Linked DNA regions of Nothobranchius furzeri. The protein of the gene in region 5 binds, or shares a complex with, the protein of the main gene of each other region. Links are inferred from orthologs where the notes say so. Each region holds a gene or a part of one and is shown on either strand. Other genes may lie near its edges. The genes, in order: strap, gemin5, snrpg, gemin2 and gemin4.

The links.
Region 1: gemin4 (region 5) and strap share a complex: the UniProt entries of both Homo sapiens proteins name them as parts of the SMN-Sm complex. The link is inferred for Nothobranchius furzeri from reciprocal best matches to the Homo sapiens genes GEMIN4 and STRAP.
Region 2: gemin4 (region 5) and gemin5 share a complex: the UniProt entries of both Homo sapiens proteins name them as parts of the SMN-Sm complex. The link is inferred for Nothobranchius furzeri from reciprocal best matches to the Homo sapiens genes GEMIN4 and GEMIN5.
Region 3: gemin4 (region 5) and snrpg share a complex: the UniProt entries of both Homo sapiens proteins name them as parts of the SMN-Sm complex. The link is inferred for Nothobranchius furzeri from reciprocal best matches to the Homo sapiens genes GEMIN4 and SNRPG.
Region 4: gemin4 (region 5) and gemin2 share a complex: the UniProt entries of both Homo sapiens proteins name them as parts of the SMN-Sm complex. The link is inferred for Nothobranchius furzeri from reciprocal best matches to the Homo sapiens genes GEMIN4 and GEMIN2.

Annotation. Positions count from the first base shown.
Region 1 is NC_091741.1:63,716,487-63,720,736, forward strand, and holds the start of strap (serine-threonine kinase receptor-associated protein), read left to right. Parts: upstream 1-1,445; 5' UTR 1,446-1,740; coding exon 1,741-1,852; intron 1,853-3,205; coding exon 3,206-3,341; intron 3,342-4,149; coding exon 4,150-4,231; intron 4,232-4,250. UniProt on the Homo sapiens protein: The SMN complex catalyzes the assembly of small nuclear ribonucleoproteins (snRNPs), the building blocks of the spliceosome, and thereby plays an important role in the splicing of cellular pre-mRNAs.
Region 2 is NC_091750.1:72,365,785-72,369,295, forward strand, and holds part of gemin5 (gem-associated protein 5), read left to right. Parts: intron 1-487; coding exon 488-627; intron 628-722; coding exon 723-894; intron 895-964; coding exon 965-1,162; intron 1,163-1,277; coding exon 1,278-1,334; intron 1,335-1,418; coding exon 1,419-1,550; intron 1,551-1,641; coding exon 1,642-1,737; intron 1,738-1,809; coding exon 1,810-1,947; intron 1,948-3,511. UniProt on the Homo sapiens protein: The SMN complex catalyzes the assembly of small nuclear ribonucleoproteins (snRNPs), the building blocks of the spliceosome, and thereby plays an important role in the splicing of cellular pre-mRNAs.
Region 3 is NC_091755.1:44,512,082-44,516,206, forward strand, and holds the start of snrpg (small nuclear ribonucleoprotein G), read left to right. Parts: upstream 1-1,314; 5' UTR 1,315-1,435; coding exon 1,436-1,467; intron 1,468-1,643; coding exon 1,644-1,666; intron 1,667-4,125. UniProt on the Homo sapiens protein: Plays a role in pre-mRNA splicing as a core component of the spliceosomal U1, U2, U4 and U5 small nuclear ribonucleoproteins (snRNPs), the building blocks of the spliceosome.
Region 4 is NC_091758.1:40,480,315-40,484,515, reverse strand, and holds the start of gemin2 (gem-associated protein 2), read left to right. Parts: upstream 1-1,391; 5' UTR 1,392-1,512; coding exon 1,513-1,634; intron 1,635-1,711; coding exon 1,712-1,793; intron 1,794-1,891; coding exon 1,892-1,981; intron 1,982-2,087; coding exon 2,088-2,174; intron 2,175-2,332; coding exon 2,333-2,449; intron 2,450-2,691; coding exon 2,692-2,736; intron 2,737-2,807; coding exon 2,808-2,876; intron 2,877-4,201. UniProt on the Homo sapiens protein: The SMN complex catalyzes the assembly of small nuclear ribonucleoproteins (snRNPs), the building blocks of the spliceosome, and thereby plays an important role in the splicing of cellular pre-mRNAs.
Region 5 is NC_091753.1:62,516,146-62,520,159, forward strand, and holds the start of gemin4 (gem-associated protein 4), read left to right. Parts: upstream 1-1,213; 5' UTR 1,214-1,309; coding exon 1,310-1,319; intron 1,320-1,652; coding exon 1,653-3,617; intron 3,618-3,706; coding exon 3,707-3,863; intron 3,864-3,936; coding exon 3,937-4,014. Other genes in the region: dhrs13b.2 (tapasin-related protein), read right to left, coding at 87-362, 437-613, 718-763. UniProt on the Homo sapiens protein: The SMN complex catalyzes the assembly of small nuclear ribonucleoproteins (snRNPs), the building blocks of the spliceosome, and thereby plays an important role in the splicing of cellular pre-mRNAs.

The DNA.
Region 1 (4,250 bases), on a different chromosome or scaffold from region 5:
ACTTGTAAAACAGTCCGGATATTGCAATGTAACTCTTAGAGACACTCACTTTTGAACTAGGGATACTAGCACCGAGTGGGAACCCCCCCCCCCCCCCCCCCCCCCCAAAAAAACTACTCTTGAGAGATAAGCTAATATTTATTAAACACATAAATAAACACACACACATCTGGGGAGGGATTTTCACAGACTCTGGCATTCTCCGTTCTCACACCTGAAAGTCGGTGAAGAACATCTGTTTTATTCTGCCAGACCCATAGGTGCTATACTCTTCTCCAAGGCCAGATTAATGCAGAAACAACTTTATTGTATTTATCTATTTGAACTAAATTAATTAATACACATGACCTGCTTAGAGGCTTGATGGTCTTCTGAACTGGTATCAGCCATCAAATCAGGTGTGCTGGAGCAGGGAAACAACTAAAACATGCTGGATGGAAGAGCTCCAGGACCAGAGATTGAGAGAGCACTGCCCTGAAGACACCAGGATGTAAATCATTTGATGATTAATCCATACGTGTTTCTATTTCTACAGTACAGAATATTGCTATTTTTACCTCCACAGACAATGTTATAAATGTGGCAGGGTGGAGAAATGAGGGCCCGGGCGGGATTTGATCCCCAGGCTCCTGGGTGAGAGTCACGCACTCATACCAGTCAGCCAAAAGGACATCCCCTATGTCAAGTAGCCAGGGCACATGATCAATCGTGACACTGTGACAGGACACTCACACTGTCACATACACTGATCCTTGAAATTAAAGTTTTTGAGACATAAACAGCAGACTGAATAAATACCTGATATAATGTAGTAGGTGGATTAGAACCAGACTGGGTTATTTTGTATTTAAAGTGTAAAATCTGGATCCAACAAGCTTATTATGGGTCTCTGACTTCATGGTTTTCTACTGTAGCCTGGCCTGCCATACTCCTCCTCTGTTTAATTCTGCACAGAGTCTGGCAGGCCAGGCTAGTCCTACTGTAGAAAAAAAATGAAATGGGGAATATGAAAAACTGATCAGACTGTTTATAATACCGGGAAAATATGATATATGTATTTTGAGAACTAATAATAATAATAATAATAATAATAATTATTATTATTATTATTATTATTATTACTGACTACATTAATGCATATTCTAATACTGCTGTGTCTAAACTTTATTTTTCCTGCCACTTTATTTCATTCCAAAGCAGCACAATTCATTCCTGCAATATTCCAATTTTAAATCCCAGTTTTCCAGACTACAGCTCAAACAGCTCCCACTCCTTCGCACAGTCATATATGTTCGCCAGAAGAACGGGAATGTTGTATCTCTGTCGAGAACTTTTAATCAGACTCAGCTTTCAGCTGTGTGCGCTTTACCAAATGACTCTGACAATATGGCGGCGACGGGTCGCACCGCACGCTTACGTTACGTCAACTCTTTTACTACACTGTCACTGTGACGCTGCAGTGCACGTTGCTAGTTAGTTGCAATGTTGTAGCTATTAGCACGACAGCCATTCTTTTGCTGGGGGAGAGCCGACATTTGGTCAGAATAACTTTGAATTCTCGGCTGTTAAAAGATTAATTAACAGACAACGGCAGGACGTTACAGCTTTGATAACAACGCGCCAATTAGACGTTTCGTATTCCTCGGCTACTGGTTAGCCGACCTAGCTTGTAAGCCAGCCGTTAGCGACCAGCTAACTCTTCCTCTTTCGGTCTTCTGTCCTCTGTCCAGCTGGAGGAGCATGGCGATGAGACAGACCCCTCTCACCTGCTCCGGTCACACCCGGCCTGTGGTGGACCTGGCTTTCAGTGGAATCACTCCTTTTGGCTACTTCCTCATCAGCGCCTGCAAAGGTGAGTCCTCAAGCCGTCCAAATCCAAGGTGCTGCCCTGCTCAGGATCTTCATTTACCTGTCTCACTCACACAGACTTCTCTCACTTTGGTCCCTGACTTACCTGCGCCTCAAAAGAAACTTTGTAACGATTTATTTCAGATGTCTTTTTTTATGAAAATCCTATCTGCATTACTTGAATCACCTCAGATGTGTTCAGTTCACGATCTGGTTTCATTCTTTGAAGAATCACATTTCTTTCACAACTTTATATAAATACAAATTTGTCATCGTGTAGGAGTTTTCCTCTGTGTTCACCTACTTGTTTCCAAGCAAAAAGTGGAGATAATTTTTACCTGAAAAATTCTCTTCCATTACAAAAAAAAAAAAAAAAAAACAGTAAAATCATCACCATTCGTCTTAGGCTTCCCTTTCTGTCAGAATAGCCATATGACCCTCACCAAGTGTTCTGTCAGGGAGTGAGGGAAACGGGAAGGTGAATACCATGGCGAAAGTAATAAGCTACTGATGGTTACCATGGTGCCCCTAATAAGCCTCTGCTAGCAGCTTTAACATTTGTTGAGTTTGGTCCTCTTTACACATTCTATATAATTTAAGGCAGTGGCTGTTTCTCAGTGCTTAAGAGGACACTGTCCTGCAAGGATTAAAGAAAACGGTTACATGGAACAGACTTATCTCACGTGACCCGCCATCACGTCATGTGACATGTGAGGTAAAGTTAGATTTATATATATGTATAACTAGCCTTTAACTTTTTTAAATTATGTATATATTGGTTAAATTAAATATGTAAGCAAGTTACTACCCGCTTGCCACCGAATCTGCAACTGCAAAGCAACTGACCAACCATAGATAATTGCTTTGAATCTAAAAAAATATTTCAGATATCAGCCTGATAGCTACAATTAGTTGACTTGCATTTAAACTGGAAATTTGCCCCTGAAGTAGCTGCCGGCTCCTGATCCGCCATTCATTTGAAAATACTGTGGTGTATTCTGAGAAATGTTTCAGTCAGAGAAGGCAACAAGACACCTCCCATGTATTCTCAGTCAGTTAGCTAAACGGCGGACAAACGAAGGACAGACGCCTCTGTAGCACATGAACATTGGAACACGTCTTGGCGGTTCCTGATGACGTATCTCTTAGGCAACTGGGCTGGGACCAAGGCATCAAGGCGAGGTTCCTTGACCTTGAGAAACACCCAGTTTCTCAGCTCAGATTAATACAAAACTGATTTTTAACATTTTACACCAGCTGCTTGAAAGCCACTCAATGTCTTGAGAAAGTTCATATTAATGATCTTTTCATGGGAGTTTTAACAAGTACATCACCATCCCCTTCTTCCTTTTGTTAGATGGCAAGCCCATGTTGCGCCAGGGAGACACAGGGGACTGGATCGGAACGTTTCTGGGTCACAAAGGTGCGGTTTGGGGAGCCACTCTGAATACAGACGCCACCAAGGCAGCCACAGCTGCTGCAGACTTCACAGCGTGAGTGGGGTTCAGCTCTCGATGTAGAGATGCATGATTTGAATTTTGTTGGAAAATGCACTTTTTTCTTGTTTTTAACACTCTTAAAACGTTTAGCTGTAAAAACAAGTTGTCTTTTATTAATAATATATTCTCTTTCTACTCCCCTTCACTCACACACTCTGCAAATGTGCGTTTGGACTCATTGAGATTGTTGGACATACATATTTCAAAAAGGAAGTAAACTGAACCACTGAAAAAGAATTTCACTATCCCATTTACCAGACAAATCATAGCTTCTTAACTTTTTTCTTGTTCTTTATGTGTTATCTTAGAAACCTCAAAACAGAAAAATACAGCAAGTCACTTGGTGCAAGTGGTGCACCTAGGTGAAAGAAGATCAACTGTTACAAAATGAAAAAAAAAATACAAGATCACTCACAATCTCCCTCAACCTTGGGCTCCATGCAAGATCTCACCTTGTGTCATAAAAATGATCTTGTTTTCAGAGTAACTCTTAATTTTAACATTTCAGGAAAAAAAAAAAACGTGTTTAAATCATGCTAAAATTCCCACCAGCAGCATCCTCAAAGTCCTGGTGAAGAAAAACGATCTGTTTTGCATGTGTTTTAAAAAAAAAGAAAACCAACCTTTCTTTGTTTCTGTTACGTGTTTTCTATTAAATGTTTAGTTTCATTTATTCGATAAACTACTATACATCTAGCCTAGAATCTAGAAGACAGTCATTTGTCGAAGCAAAATAATTGTGCATATAGGATGGCTTGCCAGGCTACTATAAATCTATAATGGTGAACATTTTGCTTTCCAGGAAGGTGTGGGATGCCGTAAGTGGAGACGAGGTCCTCTCACTGGCACACAAGCACATTGTGAAGTCTGTCAACTTCACTCAGGTCAGTTTTGCTTAGCATC
Region 2 (3,511 bases), on a different chromosome or scaffold from region 5:
CAACCCGCTCAACTAACATAATTTACGGCCCAAATCCAACAGAACCGGTCGGGCTGATTCGATTCGGGTTTGGTCTCAGGTTATAACTCCAGCGCTCAGCACCACCGCCGTTAAAATAACACAACTACATTCCACTATAATTGATTATGGCACTCTTCTGTGATGCAAAACCGTTTATGCCCGCATCTCATGCATTGATTATTTGATTATTTTCCTCAGCTCTGTCCTAAACCTCCCGGTCGGGGGTGGGGGTGGGCGGAGCCACAAAGAGAGGGCTTGCGGGCCGGACGTGGCCCGCGGGCCGCCATTTGCAGACCACTGCTCAAGGGCAACATGCCGATTATCACTTGTAAGCCGCTTTGGACCAAAGCGTCTGCTAAATACATGAACATGAACATAATAATAAAGAGGGAAGCGAACATGGAGTGTGCAGTAGAAACAGAATCAGACACGCTGGATGTTAACGTTCTGATCCGTTTTTCCATAGAGAATCCTCCAGAGGAGCCGGCGGTTCTGACCGAGTCCTATCGTCGGTTATCCGGCCACACGGCTAAAATCACGGGGATGTCGTGGAGTCCGCATCACAGCGGCCGGCTGGTCACGGTCTCCTACGACGGCACCGCCCAGGTCAGCAGCTGGAAAAGCTGCACGGAGACGTTCCCGCTTGGAACGGCTTTCTGCTCTAAGCTTGTAAAAGTTCTGTTTGGTTCTGGTTCCTGCAGGTGTGGGATGTTCTGGAGGAGGCTGCCATCTCCAACTACCGCGGTCACAACGGCTACCTGCTGTGTGTCGACTGGTCACCCGTTGACCCAGATGGGATCTGGACCGGAGGGAGGGACTTCACCGTGCACGAGTGGAAGGTCTCCAAACAGGAATTCACCAAACCCCCCAAAGGTACACCCGGATTTGGGTTCTGGTTCAGATCCAACAGACCAAGCCAGAACTGTCTGTGGTGTCATCTCAGGAAAGAAGAAGGTCATGATGCAGGAGAAGCGGGCCCGTTCCAAACAGCAGAAGAAAAAGAGCAAGAACGGGTCCGGAGGAGCCACGGCGCCGAACATGAACGGAGATTCTGTTGTAGGAGTAACCATGACGACTGAGAAGGAGCTGTCTGAGGACGAGGAGGAGGTCCGATCCACACAGAACCAGGAGGTGACCACAGGTAGAAACAAGTCGGTTCTGGTTTCAGTGGAAAAAGAATTTCATTTAAACTTTAGTTTAAAAATGATATTTTAAAAAATTCTGTGGAAAAATAAAAGAATTTTTTTCTCTTTCAGCAAATTTTGAGACGCAAAAAAACTCAATTCCTGCTGCGAAAAGTAAAGAAAAACCAGGTTTTTGTCTGAACTGAGGTCCCAGCTGGGTTCCGGCCCAGTAGACTGGTTCTGGTCCTGATCAGCAGCTCTTGGTTTCTCCAGATCTCCTGGTTCTGAAGAAGAAGAAGGCCCGCTCCATGCTGCCCCTCAGCACCTCCATGGACCACCGGCCCAGAGAGGAGCTGCTGCAGGACGTCCTCACACTGGCCTCCGTCAGACACCCGGGGGGTGCAGGTCTGTAGCCGGGTGGTGCTCGCTGCTCGTGGTCATGGTGATGCTTTTACTGAAGGCAGGAGGTGTGTGTGTGTGTGTGTGTGTGTTCCAGCCCCTCCTGCAGGCTGTGTCCCGGGTCAGGGGGACCACCTCCATCTGGGCCTGTTCCACGACCGACCGGCGCTGTACCGCATGTTCCAGGCAGAAGGTCGGTTCTTCCTCCTGCTTTTACTAACAGGAACGTTTTTCATGCGTCTGAACTCCACTTCCTGCTCCTCAGAGGACGCCCACATCGAGGCAGGTCACTACGACTCGGTGGTGTACCTGCGCCTTTGGACTGGAGACCTGGAGGGGGCGCTGCAGCTTGCCACAGAGAGGGGCGAGCTGAACGACCACCTGCTGTCCATCGCCCCCATGGGTAACAACTGAAAGCCCTCAGACCCAGAACTTCTCGGTGCTGGTCGATCGAATCTGAAAGAACTTTGGTTTTTACATTTAAAGAGCCTACAGGTGCTGGCCAGTAAATTAGAATATCATCAAAAGGTTGAAAATATTTCAGTAATTCCATTCAAAACGTGAAACTTGTACATTATATTCATGCAATGCACACAGACCAATGTATTTCCAATGTTCATTACATTTAAATTTGATATTTATAGGTGACAACCAATGAAAACATCAAATCTGGTATCTCAGAAAATTAGAATATTCTAAAGGCCAATGAAAAAATGTTTGTTTCTCTAATGTTGGCCAACTGAAAAGAATGAACATGAAAAGAATGTGCATGTATAGCACTCAATACTTAGTCGGGGCTCCTTTTGCCTCAATAACTGCAGTAATGCGGCGTGGCATGGACTCGATCAGTCTGTGGCACTGCTCAGGTGTTATGAGAGCCCAGGTTGCTCTGATAGTCGTCTTCAGCTCCTCTGCATTGTTGGGTCTAGCGTATTGCATCCTCCGCTTCACAATACCCCCTAGATTTTCTATGGGGTTATGGTCAGGCGAGTTTGCTGGCCAATCAAGGACAGGGATACCATGGTCCTTGAACCAGGTGCTGGTGGTTTTGGCACTGTGTGCAGGTGCCAAGTCCTGTTGAAAGGTGAAGTCTGCATCCCCATAAAGTTGGTCAGCAGCAGGAAGCATGAAGTGCTCTAAAACTTCCTGGTAGACGGCTGCATTGACCCTGGACCTCAGGAAACAGAGTGGGCCAACACCGGCAGATGACATGGCACCCCACACCATCACTGACGGTGGAAACTTTACACTGGACCTCATGCAACGTGGATTCTGTGCTTCTCCGCTCTTCCTCCAGACTCTGGGTCCTTGATTTCCAAAGGAAATGCAGAACTTGCTTTCATCAGAAAACATAACTTTGGACCACTCAGCATCAGTCCAGTCCTTTTTGTCCTTGGCCCAGGCGAGACGCTTCTTGCGCTGTTTCTTGTTCAAGAGTGGCTTGACACACGGAATGCGACACCTGAATCCCATGTCTTTCATGAGTCTCCTCGTGGTGGTTCTTGAAGCGCTGACTCCAGCTGCAGTCCACTCTTTGTGGATCTCCCCCACATTTTTGAATGGGTTTGTCGTCACAATTCTCTGCAGGGTGCGGTTATCCCTAGAGCTTGTACACTTTTTTCTACCACATTTTTTCCGTCCCTTCGCCTGTCTGTTAATGTGCTTGGACACAGAGCTCTGCGAACAGCCAGCTTCTTTAGCAATCACCTTTTGTGTCTTGCCCTCCTTGTGCAAGGTGTCAATGATTGTCTTTTGGACAGCTGTTAAGTCAGAAGTCTTCCCCATGATTGTGGTGCCTTCAAAACAAGACTGAGGGACCTTTTAAAGGCCTTTGCAGGTGTTTTGAGTAAATCAGCTGATTAGAGTGGCAGCAGGTGTCTTCTATATTCAGCCTTTTCAGAATATTCTAATTTTTTGAGATACCAAATGTGGAGTTTTCATTAGTTGTCACTTATGAATATCAAATT
Region 3 (4,125 bases), on a different chromosome or scaffold from region 5:
GTGCCTCTGAGGCTGGAAGTCACAATATTTACTCTGTGTTACCCTTGAATGTGCATCATTTGGGAATATATTTGTTTTTGCTTAGTCTTAAACGTTGGCATATTTACTTCACCATTTGTACAATCCTTTTACATCATTCTTTGTATTTATTTTCCAGACCACACGGAACCACAGAAATGTACAGATGTCCATACTTCAACTGTCATTAAATACGTAAAACTGTCTCTCCGTGCCCTGCTCTCTGACCGGAGCCCTTATCTTGAAGATACTGTCAGATCAGCAAATAACTTCCAGAGTTCCCACTCTATCACATTGTTACTGGTCAGAATAAAGGTAGTGATGTCATTGTTACTGGTCAGAATAAAGGTAGTGATGTCATTGTTACTGGTCAGAATAAAGGTAGTGATGTCATTGTTACTGGTCGGAATAAAGGTAGTGATGTCATTGTTGGCGTCAGGCACTATTCCGGAAGGGCAAACAGGTTTTTGACCGCTGTGGCATGAAGACGTTTGAATGGGAAAGTAATCGGATTACTCCTATCATTGTTACATCCTGGAATGCAATCAACATTAAACAAGAAGCATTATCATAACAACTCCACGCTTAAGGCTGTTCAAGTAATTTAGTCAACATCGGATCAACACAGAGCGTCAACCAGGTCCCGGTCTAGCAGCCTCAGGAGTTCGAGTAATGGACTTGACTTCTACAGTTGCCTTCTTGAAATCACAATCTGGTTTTATTGTGTTCTTAGATATTGGTTGTGGGCTTCCATGAGTTTTCATAGTCAAACTTGGTTTCACTGAATTTTATTTGTTGTTTTTTACTTTGTCAAAAATAGCTCTTCTTCCTGTTATCTGTTGAATCTGCTTAATTTTAACTATACTTTTTAACTTGATGAGAATTTACAGAAATGAAAGAATAACTTTAAAGATTAGGTTAAATTGTGTAAATTATACAAACTGCACAACAGATTTCCATCCTGGAAAAGAAGAGAACGAAGTTGAGCTGACACTGCTGGGAGCTAGGGACTCCGGTCTGACAGGTAAAAATCAGGCAGCACAATGCATCTCTGTCGTTCAACAGCAAAATAAATGGTCAACTGAATACAAACAATAAGGTAGAAGGAACATAAAATATGCACTTATTAACATCGTTTTACATTTCAAATACATTTCAGTATAATATGTAATACTTACGTTTACTTTTGCTTTTTTGTAAGATTGACAATAAAATTGTAAAAGTTGTTTGAAACAAAGTGTTCTTGCAGATATTTGCAGATCCAACCCTAACACGTTCTCCTCCCCGCCTCGAGGGGGCGTAGTGGGACTGTAAACGCTAACTGCTTCACTTCCGGTCACATTTTCCTTCCGCGGTTTTGTTCAACGTAACCCCGACGAGCTAGCTCACCGGACTTCGGTACAAAAAACGATACAGAATGAGCAAAGCACACCCGCCAGAGCTGAAGAAGTAAGTTCACGTGTTTAAAAATAACAATTAGAAATTATTAATTTTGTTTCCACGATTTTAACGGAAAGAACGTGTTAGCCTGTTAGCTTTGCTCCATTCTTTACCATGAGGCTAACATTAGCAACCCTGCCTGAACTGTGAACCACCGTCGCCTGAAATGTTGTTTTATGTTTCAGATTCATGGATAAAAAGCTTTCATGTGAGTATGGCGTTTTACGAATATGTCTTTAAAGCCCCTATTGTGATTATGAAGAGTTTATAGTTTTAAGGTGCTAAAACATTAAAACCACGTGACGGAATAATAATCGATTGCATTTGTGTTGCGCTTTACATCACGACAATCTCAACGCGTTTAGAGGAAAGGAAAATGTTGATTATGAAAGATGAAAAGCTTTACTATAAAAGATCTACTAGAGAGAAACGTTTTCAGTCCTTCTTAAAAGCCGCTTGTAGGTTGGGGTGTGCTTAAACTCTCAGGGTAGGGTTAAAGGTTAGAGGGTGGAGGGCATTGTCCTCCGTGGTGCTCAGCCTGGTCTGGGTCTATGAAGCAAGTCTGACAAAAACCAGCAGATTTAAAATCCATCTAAGTCAAATCAAAAGGCTGAGAAGGGTTGGGAACACCAGAGCAGAAGGTGCAGCACGAGGAGCAACGACTGACAGGAAGATGAATAAAGAGACCAGAGATGGGGCACATCTGAGCTCGCGGGGAAGCTGATTTCATCTGTGTGCAGCATCACCCTGCTTGGTTCTGACCCGGTGCAGCTCAGGTCTGAATCAGTTATGAGTCTTTGTCCTTTAGCTCTAAACTGTAATTCTATCTGTGTGTGTTGTAGTTAGTGTTTTATCATGTCCTGGTGACTGTAAAGCACATAGGATTGCCTCTGTGTTTGAAACGTGCTCGAGACATAAAGCTGCCTTGTCTTCGTTCCTCTGGAGCCGAGCTGAGCAGTAACGTCCATCCTAACCTTCTGATTCCCAAAGACGATAACTTCAGTCTCGTCTTTGTTAAACTGGAGGAAGTTAGACTGCATCCGGTCGTTTGCTTGCCTCAAACACTGACAGAGTGAGTCTAGGGATAGGCAATTGTGAGTATACACATGCGCAATAATAAATATATTTCTTTGATAACTTTTAAGAGATCATTCTGTTGGTGTAAAATCATTTTTTAGGCATGTCAGCTAATGTTTGGTTAGATTTTAAATGTTTGTATTTACTTTTGTTTATTTAGCTGCATAATTGGGGTAAATAGCTTGGTTTGCAGGGGTTCTGTGAAGATTGTGCAGGGTTTTTCCTGCATTCAAATTAGAGCTGAGGAAAATAATCGATGCATCGGGATGCGGACATAAATCGTAGAAGAGTACGCCGTAATCGATTATAGTGGAATGTAGTTTTGTTTTTTTAACGGCGGCACCAGCATCTGTCAGAGTGAGCGTCCTCCACATTTACCACGTGGTTCCGCCTTGATGTGGTACTGCATTGCTGAGCGCTAGAGTTGTAACCTGAGCCGGAACCAAATCAGCCCGACCGGTTCTGTTGGATTTGGGCCGTGAATTATGTTAATTGAGCGGGTTGTCATGTGGCGCGCTCCGCTCGATCAGAGAGAGAGACTGTCTACTCACACGAGAGGATCGCAGGACGCTCCTCTAAACCGATGCTCCAAACACGCGTTATTGTTTTCATAATTTCTCCTGGAAGCGCTCAGTCAGACTTAGGGATGGGTACCTTTGACATTTGAATCGATCCGGTACTAATTCCCGGTACCTAGGAATCGATACCGGTACTTAACGGTATCAATTTTAGATACTTTTGAGTGTTTATTATTTTAATTCTCTTTTATAATTAAATATATATTTTTCTCAATATATAACCATATTTGATAAATATCACGATAAAAAACATACAACTGTTTGTATTTTAACATGGTCCTTGTAGTTTTATAAGCTGATAATTAAACTGAAGCAAACGTCTTTACTGTGAACTAAATTTACTGTGTATCTTCATTCCTTTTGCCGTCTTTTTCATTTGATTTTTCCTACTGGGAAGTTAGAATTTCCGAGGAGAAAGCGAACGCACCATTAGCTGATAACAATAGTAGCAATGGAAGCTAACATACCAAGCTAACGTTATCTTTAACAGTTTATTTAGCTGCTGGAGCAGATTAAAACGATGATGCCTCACACTTAGATCGTTGTCGCTGGTTTCATCTTCACCCAATCACCCGTCGCATTTAGTAAAGTGAAGCCAAACTTTAGAGCGCGTTCATGTTATTCCAGTCGGAAATTCGAAGTTCCGAGGAGAAAGCGAACGCACCATTAGCTGATAACAACGGTGGCAATGGAAGCTAACATACCAAGCTAACGTTATCTTAAACAGTTTATTTAGCTGCTGGAGCAGATTAAAACGATGATGCCTCACACTTAGATCGTTGTCGCTGGTTTCATCTTCACCCAATCACCCGTCGCATTTAGTAAAGTGAAGCCAAACTTTAGAGCGCGTTCATGTTATTCCAGTCGGAAATTCGAAGTTCCGAGGAGAAAGCGAACACACCATTAGCGAAACGGAAGCTAACATATCGAGCTAACGTTATCTTAAACATGTTATTTACCTACCGGAGCAGATTAAGATGAGGATGTCTCACTTAGATCGTTGTTACTGGTT
Region 4 (4,201 bases), on a different chromosome or scaffold from region 5:
ATATATAATGGATTGATCAGATCAGTATTAGATTATGGGTGTGTGGCATATAATTCAGCAGCAAAAACTACTCTTTCAAAATTAAATTCTATCCAGAATCAGGCACAGAGACTCTGTACTGGAGCATTTAAAACAACCCCAATAGCAGCGTTACAGGTAGAGACGGGTGAGATGCCAATAGCAATCAGACGAGAACGAATAGCTTTAAATTATTGGGCAAATCTTCAGGGTCAGGAAGAAGATCATCCAACACGAGACATACCAAAACCTTGCTGGGAGAAAGAAAAGAAGGAAACAACAAGTTTTGGATGGGTGATGATCAAAAAACCAGTAGAACTTAAATGAGATCGGTTTACAATCAGTCAAAGAGTTCCATTACCTGCTGTTCCGCCATGGATTCTTCCTGAGGCGTCTGTTGATTTATCATTATTAGAGAGAAAGAATATGGATAAGTCTTTCATACTAAACTCACATACAGCACAGGATTATATCGATCACTATTATAACTATGTAAAAATTTATACAGATTCTCGCAATCCTGTTAGCAGTTCGATGGGTGGAAGAAAACAGACCATTATTCTCAGTTATTTGTTCAGACTCCAGCTCATCATTAACCAGTTTAACGTGCAGCCATTCAGGAAGCAGACCAGACATACTCCTAGAGATTCAGCAAACACTTTATAGAATAAACACGATGGGACTTAAAGTACATTTTTTATGGATTCCAGCTCGTTGTGGAATCAGTGGAAATGAAGGAGTCGATAAGATGGCTAAGGAAGCTACAATAAATACTTCGGTTCAGTTAGATGTTCGATTTTGTCAGAAAGAGATGAAGAGCATAAAAAGGCGAGAAATGAAGAAAAAATGGCAAAAACAATGGGAGGAGGAAAGGAGGGGAAGATGGTTGTATAAAATTCAAAGAAGAGTAGGAGAAATAAGAAACACTGGAAGGAGTAGGAGAGAGGCGGTGATCATTTCTAGACTGAGGTTTGGACATACTGGGTTAAACAATACGTTATTCATGATGGGGAAACATAATACAGGGAAATGCGATTATTGTGGAGAAGAAGAAACTATAGTTCATGTTATATTACAATGTCGGAAGTATCAGGCAGGAAGAAGGACATTGATTCAAAATCTTAGACAGATCAAAGTGAAACTAGACCGACAGAATTCAAAAAGCGACTGTTTTCTGATTTTATTTCAGTTTTTAAAAGAGATAAGGATGTTTGGGAGAATTTGATGTATATATGTATTTGTATATATATGTGTATGTATGTGTGTGTATATATATGTATTTTTTTGTTCTTTCTTTCCCGTGTTTGATTTTGTTTTATGAGCGCTGTTCCAGACCACACTCCACACCAGTTGGTGGCGGTAATGCACCATTCGTTGTTCGCCAACCGCCAATAAAACACCAGAAGAAGAAGAAGATGGCGACTGTGCTGTAGTGAAACTTGCGTGTTTTTCATTACCTGATTCGGTTCCGCTGTTCTTTTACTTTATTAGAACATGAAGTCGGACGTGGAGGAGTTAATGCCGAGGCTCCTGCCGCTGGAGACCGGAGGCGGGAGCGGAAACCTGGACTTGAGTGGAACCCCCAGAAACCCCCAGGAGTACCTCCGACAGGTCCAGTATGTTCGAGCCGAACCGTCTCGAGAATCAGAACCATGTTCGACCACGGAGCTTTATAAGTTTGGTGTTTCATTAGGTTGGAGGCCTCTTTATGCCCGGAGGTGGTCGTTGCTCAGATCGATCCCACAAAACTGAAGAAGCAAACTGTTAATGTGTCGGTAAGTGACACACACACACACACACACACACACACACACACACACACACACACACACACACACACACACACCACATGTTTAACATGTTTTGGTTCCAGGTAGCAGGATGTCATGCTGCTCCTCAGGGCTTCTCCCCCAGCCTCAGGTGGCAACAGCAGCAAGTCAGTAACTTCTCTGACGTCAGACAGGTGAGACTTCACAGTAACACACGTTACGAACATGTCCACACAGTAACACACGTTACGAACATGTCCACACAGTAACACACGTTACGAACATGTCCACACTGGACAGTGTCCTTTAGTCACTTTTGTTTCTCAGAGCATCACCAAGAACAGGCAACACTGGAGGAGCCAAATTCTGGATGACAACGTGCAGATGGTGAGATTTTTATTCACTACTCAAACCGAAATCAGCATTCTTTCAAGGGGAGACAGAAATCCCATGTTAAGGTGGATTTGAAGCACCTGTAAGAATCTTGTCATGCAGCATCACACTGGAGGTTTGGTTTATGCAAGCTTGACGCTGGTGTCTTACAGCCGAGGCTGACCGATGAGGAGGGCTGGAAGAGGTTTTGTTTAGGGGAGAACGTTTATCAGGGAACTTCATCCGGCCCGACGGATGCACACCAAGAACCAGCATTGGACTACGGCAAGGTTATACAACTGTTTACACCTTATTGCCTTTGTGAGCGCTTACTCCTCAGAATGAGTTTACCTGATTTAAATCGATCAAAGCTGAGATGTTTCCACATTCTACTTCTCCCACAAAAGCAAACAATCTAAACAGATAAAGTGTATTTATTTAATCCTTTGATGATCCGCCACTCATGAAAATTCTGTGGCACCTTCATGAGACCAAGGAAGTGAAGTCTCACTGATGGTTTGTTTGGGTCTAGATTGGCTTCCCTCCCTTCCTGAGCATCGTAAGCAGACTAAACCAGGTAAACGGGGGTCTACGATGACATCCATGTTGTTTTTAGCCAGTTTAACAGTCTTAATATTTTTGTCTCAGTCCACAGTTCTCATGTTGTTAGATGTTCTGATCAGCTGGTTTGAAGAGCGAGAGTTTGTTCCACAGCTGGTGAGTTTGCTTCTCGTCTCCAGCTGGTTGACAACAAATCTAATGCTAGTGGAAATATAGTTTTTTAAATTTTCGCACGAAAATAAATTGTTAGAACTCCAGGGCCCTCATTCATCAAACAAACTTATGCACAGATCTGCACGTAGGAACAGTTTTACACACTGCATACATGTAGCGACATGAATGGCCATATTTGTGACCCAAAGGTCACACTTCCCCAGCTAGGTCACGCTGTCCTGGCTGAACTTCTGTCCACAGATTATCCATCACAGGAGACGCACAGTCTTCTAGAACCATCTTTAATCTGACTGCCTTTAATCTGTCTGCTGTTCCATCCTAAGATGAAGGACACTTCAAGATTTAAAATAATCATTTTTAATAAACTCTTTTCACTGTTTATTACAAGGTTCATAAATAATCATCACGGTTCATTATAAATGTATTTAATTACTGAAATGAATTATTATTCTTTGGTTAATAATTATTATTTATGATAATCAGTAATGTTTACCAGTGTAAAGAAGGTCATGTACACTTATACACACCATGCAGGACACTGAATTCAGGGTAAAGGTAACCACCTCACATGTCTTTGCTCCATAACCAAAGCTTTCTATCTCTGAGAGGGCGTGTTCTGAGTTTTAATAAAACCCAAAACTCCTCAGTTCAAGCTGACAGTTCTGAACCAACCAAAACCTCTCCGTGGCACGAGAGTCCCAGAGGACAAGGGTCGGCCGCCCGAAGCCTCCACTAAGCTGTTCTGTCACGCTGATAGAATCGCTCCGAATAAACGCCACCTGCACCAGCTGACACAAAACTCCTTCAGAGTTAAGACGCAAACTCAACACCTGTGTGCCAGCGGCAACTCTTGGACCAGAGAGTCGGTACCACTCGCGCCTTCCCTACCGGACCGAGTACCCAGAGGCTGACAACATCCTTCCTTGACCTCCGGATCCACACAGAGGGTCGCCTGATGGGTGAGGTAGAACACAGATTGCGTCTGATGCTGTCATCTCTAAGAAACAACTTAGTTAGCTGCAAAACAAACTCTTTCACCCAGAACGCGTTTCTCTCTGAAAGAAACCTTCTGAGATTCCAGTCACACATCCAACACACGCATTTCATTTTAGCTTTCATCCAGACACAGGTTTGCTTTTAATACCAAGTTTTAATATCAAAGCTGTTATAAATTGTCATCTTTAAATTGTTCGTTATAAATTCTTAACTTTTTAAACCTGACTCTTCTTTGAAATGAAACACAGAATGGTGTAAATTTGGTTATTGAACGAGCAAAGATTCCTTTAAATATTCCGATTTAATAAATA
Region 5 (4,014 bases):
CCAGATGGACAAAGACAGAACACAGAGAAACACCATCAAAGAACCAGAACTGGAGCTGTTGGCATTATGGAGTGAAACTAACTGACCTGATGTAGTGAGCATCTGTCCATCAGTGATGGGAACCCAGCTGAGGTAGTCCTGCTTTCCTGGTGGAGGCTGGTCAGACGGGTGTCTGAGGAAGCCGAGCACAGTGAAAAGGCCCTGGTTGTGTTTGAGAGAGACGGAGAACCAGTGGTTGTACTCCCTGGCCTTCTGACTGGGCCAGTGGACATAGATGCCCTGTGTGCTGTATCTACGCAGCTCACACTCCAGCTGTTCTGCCTCCACTCCCTCCACATAGTGCCGCATGTCCACCTTGGACCCTGCAGCAGAACACAGAAGAGTAAGGTGCAACCGTTGTCAGGTGTGTAATGGTGACCTGTGTCAGGTGGCTTACCTGTGACCTGAAAAGTGATGGTGCGTAGATCTACAGGAGCTTCTCCTGTCTGACCAAACTGCAGCACAGCATTTCTGGGGATCCGCTGGGTCTCTCTATGTCCTTCATTGTTCATAATCACCTGTTCATCTGTGAAGTGACAGGGCAGCCATAGTATCTGCTGGCTACAGTAGACCCCTGGAGACAGACCAACAACTCAAAGCAGCTGATCCGAGTGGGCTTCCTCCAAAAACACAAACTGTCCCCACACTCGCAGGGATACAAGCCTTCTGAAGACTTACCTGTCCAGATAAAACCGTAAATAAGAATCCTGCAGGGTGGAACCATGGTTATTCATCAGATCTACTGATCCTTGTTCCTGCTTCATTCAGCTGCACATTTATTCTCAGAACACTTTCGCTTTCATTTACAACGAAAAAAAACCTGCTTTGCATGCAGCTGCATCACGTGACGAGCAGAGACAGTTTCACAAGGAGAAATACTGCAAAACACTTTTAAATGTCACTAAAAGCGAGTAACGTTTAAACCATCACACGTAGGGCTGAACCGGTGTTCCGGTCTGGCGGCAGCACTGGTGAACGCGGTGTCTAGTCAACAACGCAAAACCTCGCAACAGTAAAAACAAACCAGTCAACAATCCAACAGAAAAGGCGAGGAAAACAACAACAACAACAACAATAACAACAAGGTGAAGCAGGTTTGGCGGTTTGCTGGGTTAATGCGGCTGCAGTACCGTATCTATCCAGGGGTGGCGCTGTGGGGACGCCTCGCCACCTGACAGCAGCCCGGCTTCCTGCTGGAAACCGGAAGCGCCTTTCCTGGTAACGAACTGGTTCACGAGGCGGGCGGGTGTATGTTCCTGCCTCCGCAGCCATGGACAAAGGTAATTATTAATGTTAGACATGTCTCGTGAACTTGCGCGAGCTTCGTCTCCAGTCGGTAGAGACGAACATGGCGCTAAACGCTCAGGCTGAAGCAGCAAGCTGCAGGTTTGAAGAGCCCTCTCCTAGCCAGTCGTTCGTTCTGGACCTGCTTCACCTGCAGCCTGCCCCCCCTTCACACACACACACACACACACACACACACACACACACACACACACACACACGCACACACACACACACACACACACACACACACACACACACACACACACCTGGATAACGCTGATCTCGGCCCAGCTCGGGTCTCAGCCTGTTGCTTGCCTGTTTTTCAGATTCCGCCGTGCTCCAGGGAGCTTTCCTCCAGGCAGACAAACTGTGCCTCCCCTCATCCCTGTCCCTGATGCAGAAGGCGGACTGGAGTCGTGTGAAGCTCCCGATCCTGCAGGCCCTCAGAGACACCTGTGGGCTGAGCGCTCTGGCCTGGCAGAAGAAGGTTGTTTGTGTGGTGTGGTTGAAGCTGATGAGCAGTGAGGCTGAGGAAGATGTGGAGAAGGGGTGGAGGGACAACCCTTTCTTCTGCCTCCAGAACGGCCTCCCTGACGTAAGCCGGGCTGTTCTGCTGGAGCTGGTGAAGTCACTCTCAGCTGCGCCGGTCTTTGCCCGCTTGCTCCTGCGTCTGCCTCAGCAGCAGATCTGCACCGAGCTGCAAACGCTGGCAGAGCATCTGAGGACGGATCCCAGTCCTGAAGACGTCTGCTTTCTGTTGGAGGTGTGGTGGGAGCTGTGGAAAGGCAGAGACAAATGTCAGACGCAGGAAGACAAAGACTTAGAGATGATGTTTGTCAGCCAGTTTGCACGCCTGTCCTCCGATTGTCCCAGTGTCTCGCCTCAGGCTGCAAAACGCTTAAAGCTGGACCTTCCTGCATCGTCAGCAAACACAGACGTTCTGCACGTTCTCCTCCATGCTCTTAAGAACATGAAAGATCAAGTATCTACTACAGATTTGTGCCTGCAGTCCCTGTTAGTCTGCCTCGACGCTCTTTACACATCCTTCCTAACAGACCCAGAGGTTGTGCTTCCAGTTGAAGAGAAGTTGCTCATCCTCTGTAGGCTTGTTGACACCAGAGGACAGACGCAGGCGTGGAGCCCCAAACTCCTTCAGGAGGCTCTGAGAGACCTGCGTGCTGCTCACTCACCAGCTCCTTTTCAGCCCAGCAGGATGACGCTGAGCCAAGCTTTGAAGATCGTAGCAGAACTCACAGAATTCTGGCTGGAACAGGATCTCCTGAGCGCTCCTGGCTGCTCCGCGTTCCTGCTGCAGCAGAGCGTCCAGAGAGTCCTGGCAGCTCTAGAAGAAACGGGAACATCTGAGCATGTGACTGAGAAGAGCACACTCAGAGGTCTGCTGAGTTCACTGTCTCTTCCTGCCGTAGAGACCCCCCCTCAGGTGCAGGCTCAGGTCGCTGCCACCGTCATCAGTCACCGCCTGGAGGACTGTGAGGAGTTTGCTGCGCTGTTTGCCAGCCAGTTGTCCTGGACTCATGAAGAGCTGTGGGTGGACTGCCTGGAGAAGAACCACACGGCCTTCACGCAGCCCAACACCCTCATCAGCCTCTCCTCCACCCTCGTGAGTCGCCTGCAGCGTGGGAACGTGAACACCACCTGGTGCAGGAGAGCCATTAAAACGGCTGCAGATGTCTTCTCTGCTCTTTCGTTAGAAAACCAGAACAAGGTCCTCGCTGCAGTACCGAGCCGCTCCAGCAGGGGCTTCTTTGGCTGCTCTGTCCCCTCGGCTGTGGCAGACGGCTTTGAGCAAGAGCTGAACATGGCCTTTAACTGCCTTATCCAGGGAGGGGGCGGGGCCTCAGCAGCAGTGTCCCAGGGCCGCCTGACCACAGCAGCCTCTCTGGTAGCTCGAGTGGCCTTTCAGAGCCCAGAGGCGGCTTTAAGGTCCTGCTGCCACGCCGCCGTTTTCAACAGGGGAGCCTTCAGCCTCATGGCAAAGATCCTGCAGCAGCTGCCTGGACTCCGCGGACGGAGGGGAGGGGAGGATGAGGCAAACGGAAACGATGTGGAGCAGCAGGAAGCTGGAGGGCGTGGTAGTCTGTTCTGTAGGTGTTTACAGACGGCGGTCAGAGGCAAGCCACTGTCCGCCTGTGAAAAGGAGCAGCTCCTCAAGTTCCTGTCTCTGCTCATGGCGCCGGGCCCGACGCTCCAGGGAGAGCAAGAGACACAGAGGTTCTTGTCTCCACAGGAGGTGGTCAACACACTGGTCCTGCCTCGCCTCTCAGCTGCAGGTCGGGGTCCATGCTGGCTTTAATCTCATCTGTGTGTGATCTGTAAACGCTCGTCACATTCTGCTGCTGTCCCATCTGTGTTTCTGCAGCTGAAGAGTCCTGCGATGCAGAACTGAGTCTGCAGCTCCTCCACGCTGCTTTGGCTGTGGGTGTCCAGGAAGTAGCCCCCTCCCCTCACTGGGTGTTGGACTGCTCTCCCTTCCCCCTCCTCTATATTCTGGCCCAGCAGTACAACCAGACTCTCATGTGTGTATGATCCCGTGTGTGTGTGTGTGTGCAGCGGTTGTTGTTGGGCTTCTACTCATCTGATCTCTGTTAGGTGCTGGGAGCGGTCGTCGGAGGACAGCGACCACCTGAGCTCCATGGACACCAAGGAGCTGCTGGAGTCGGTGCTGAG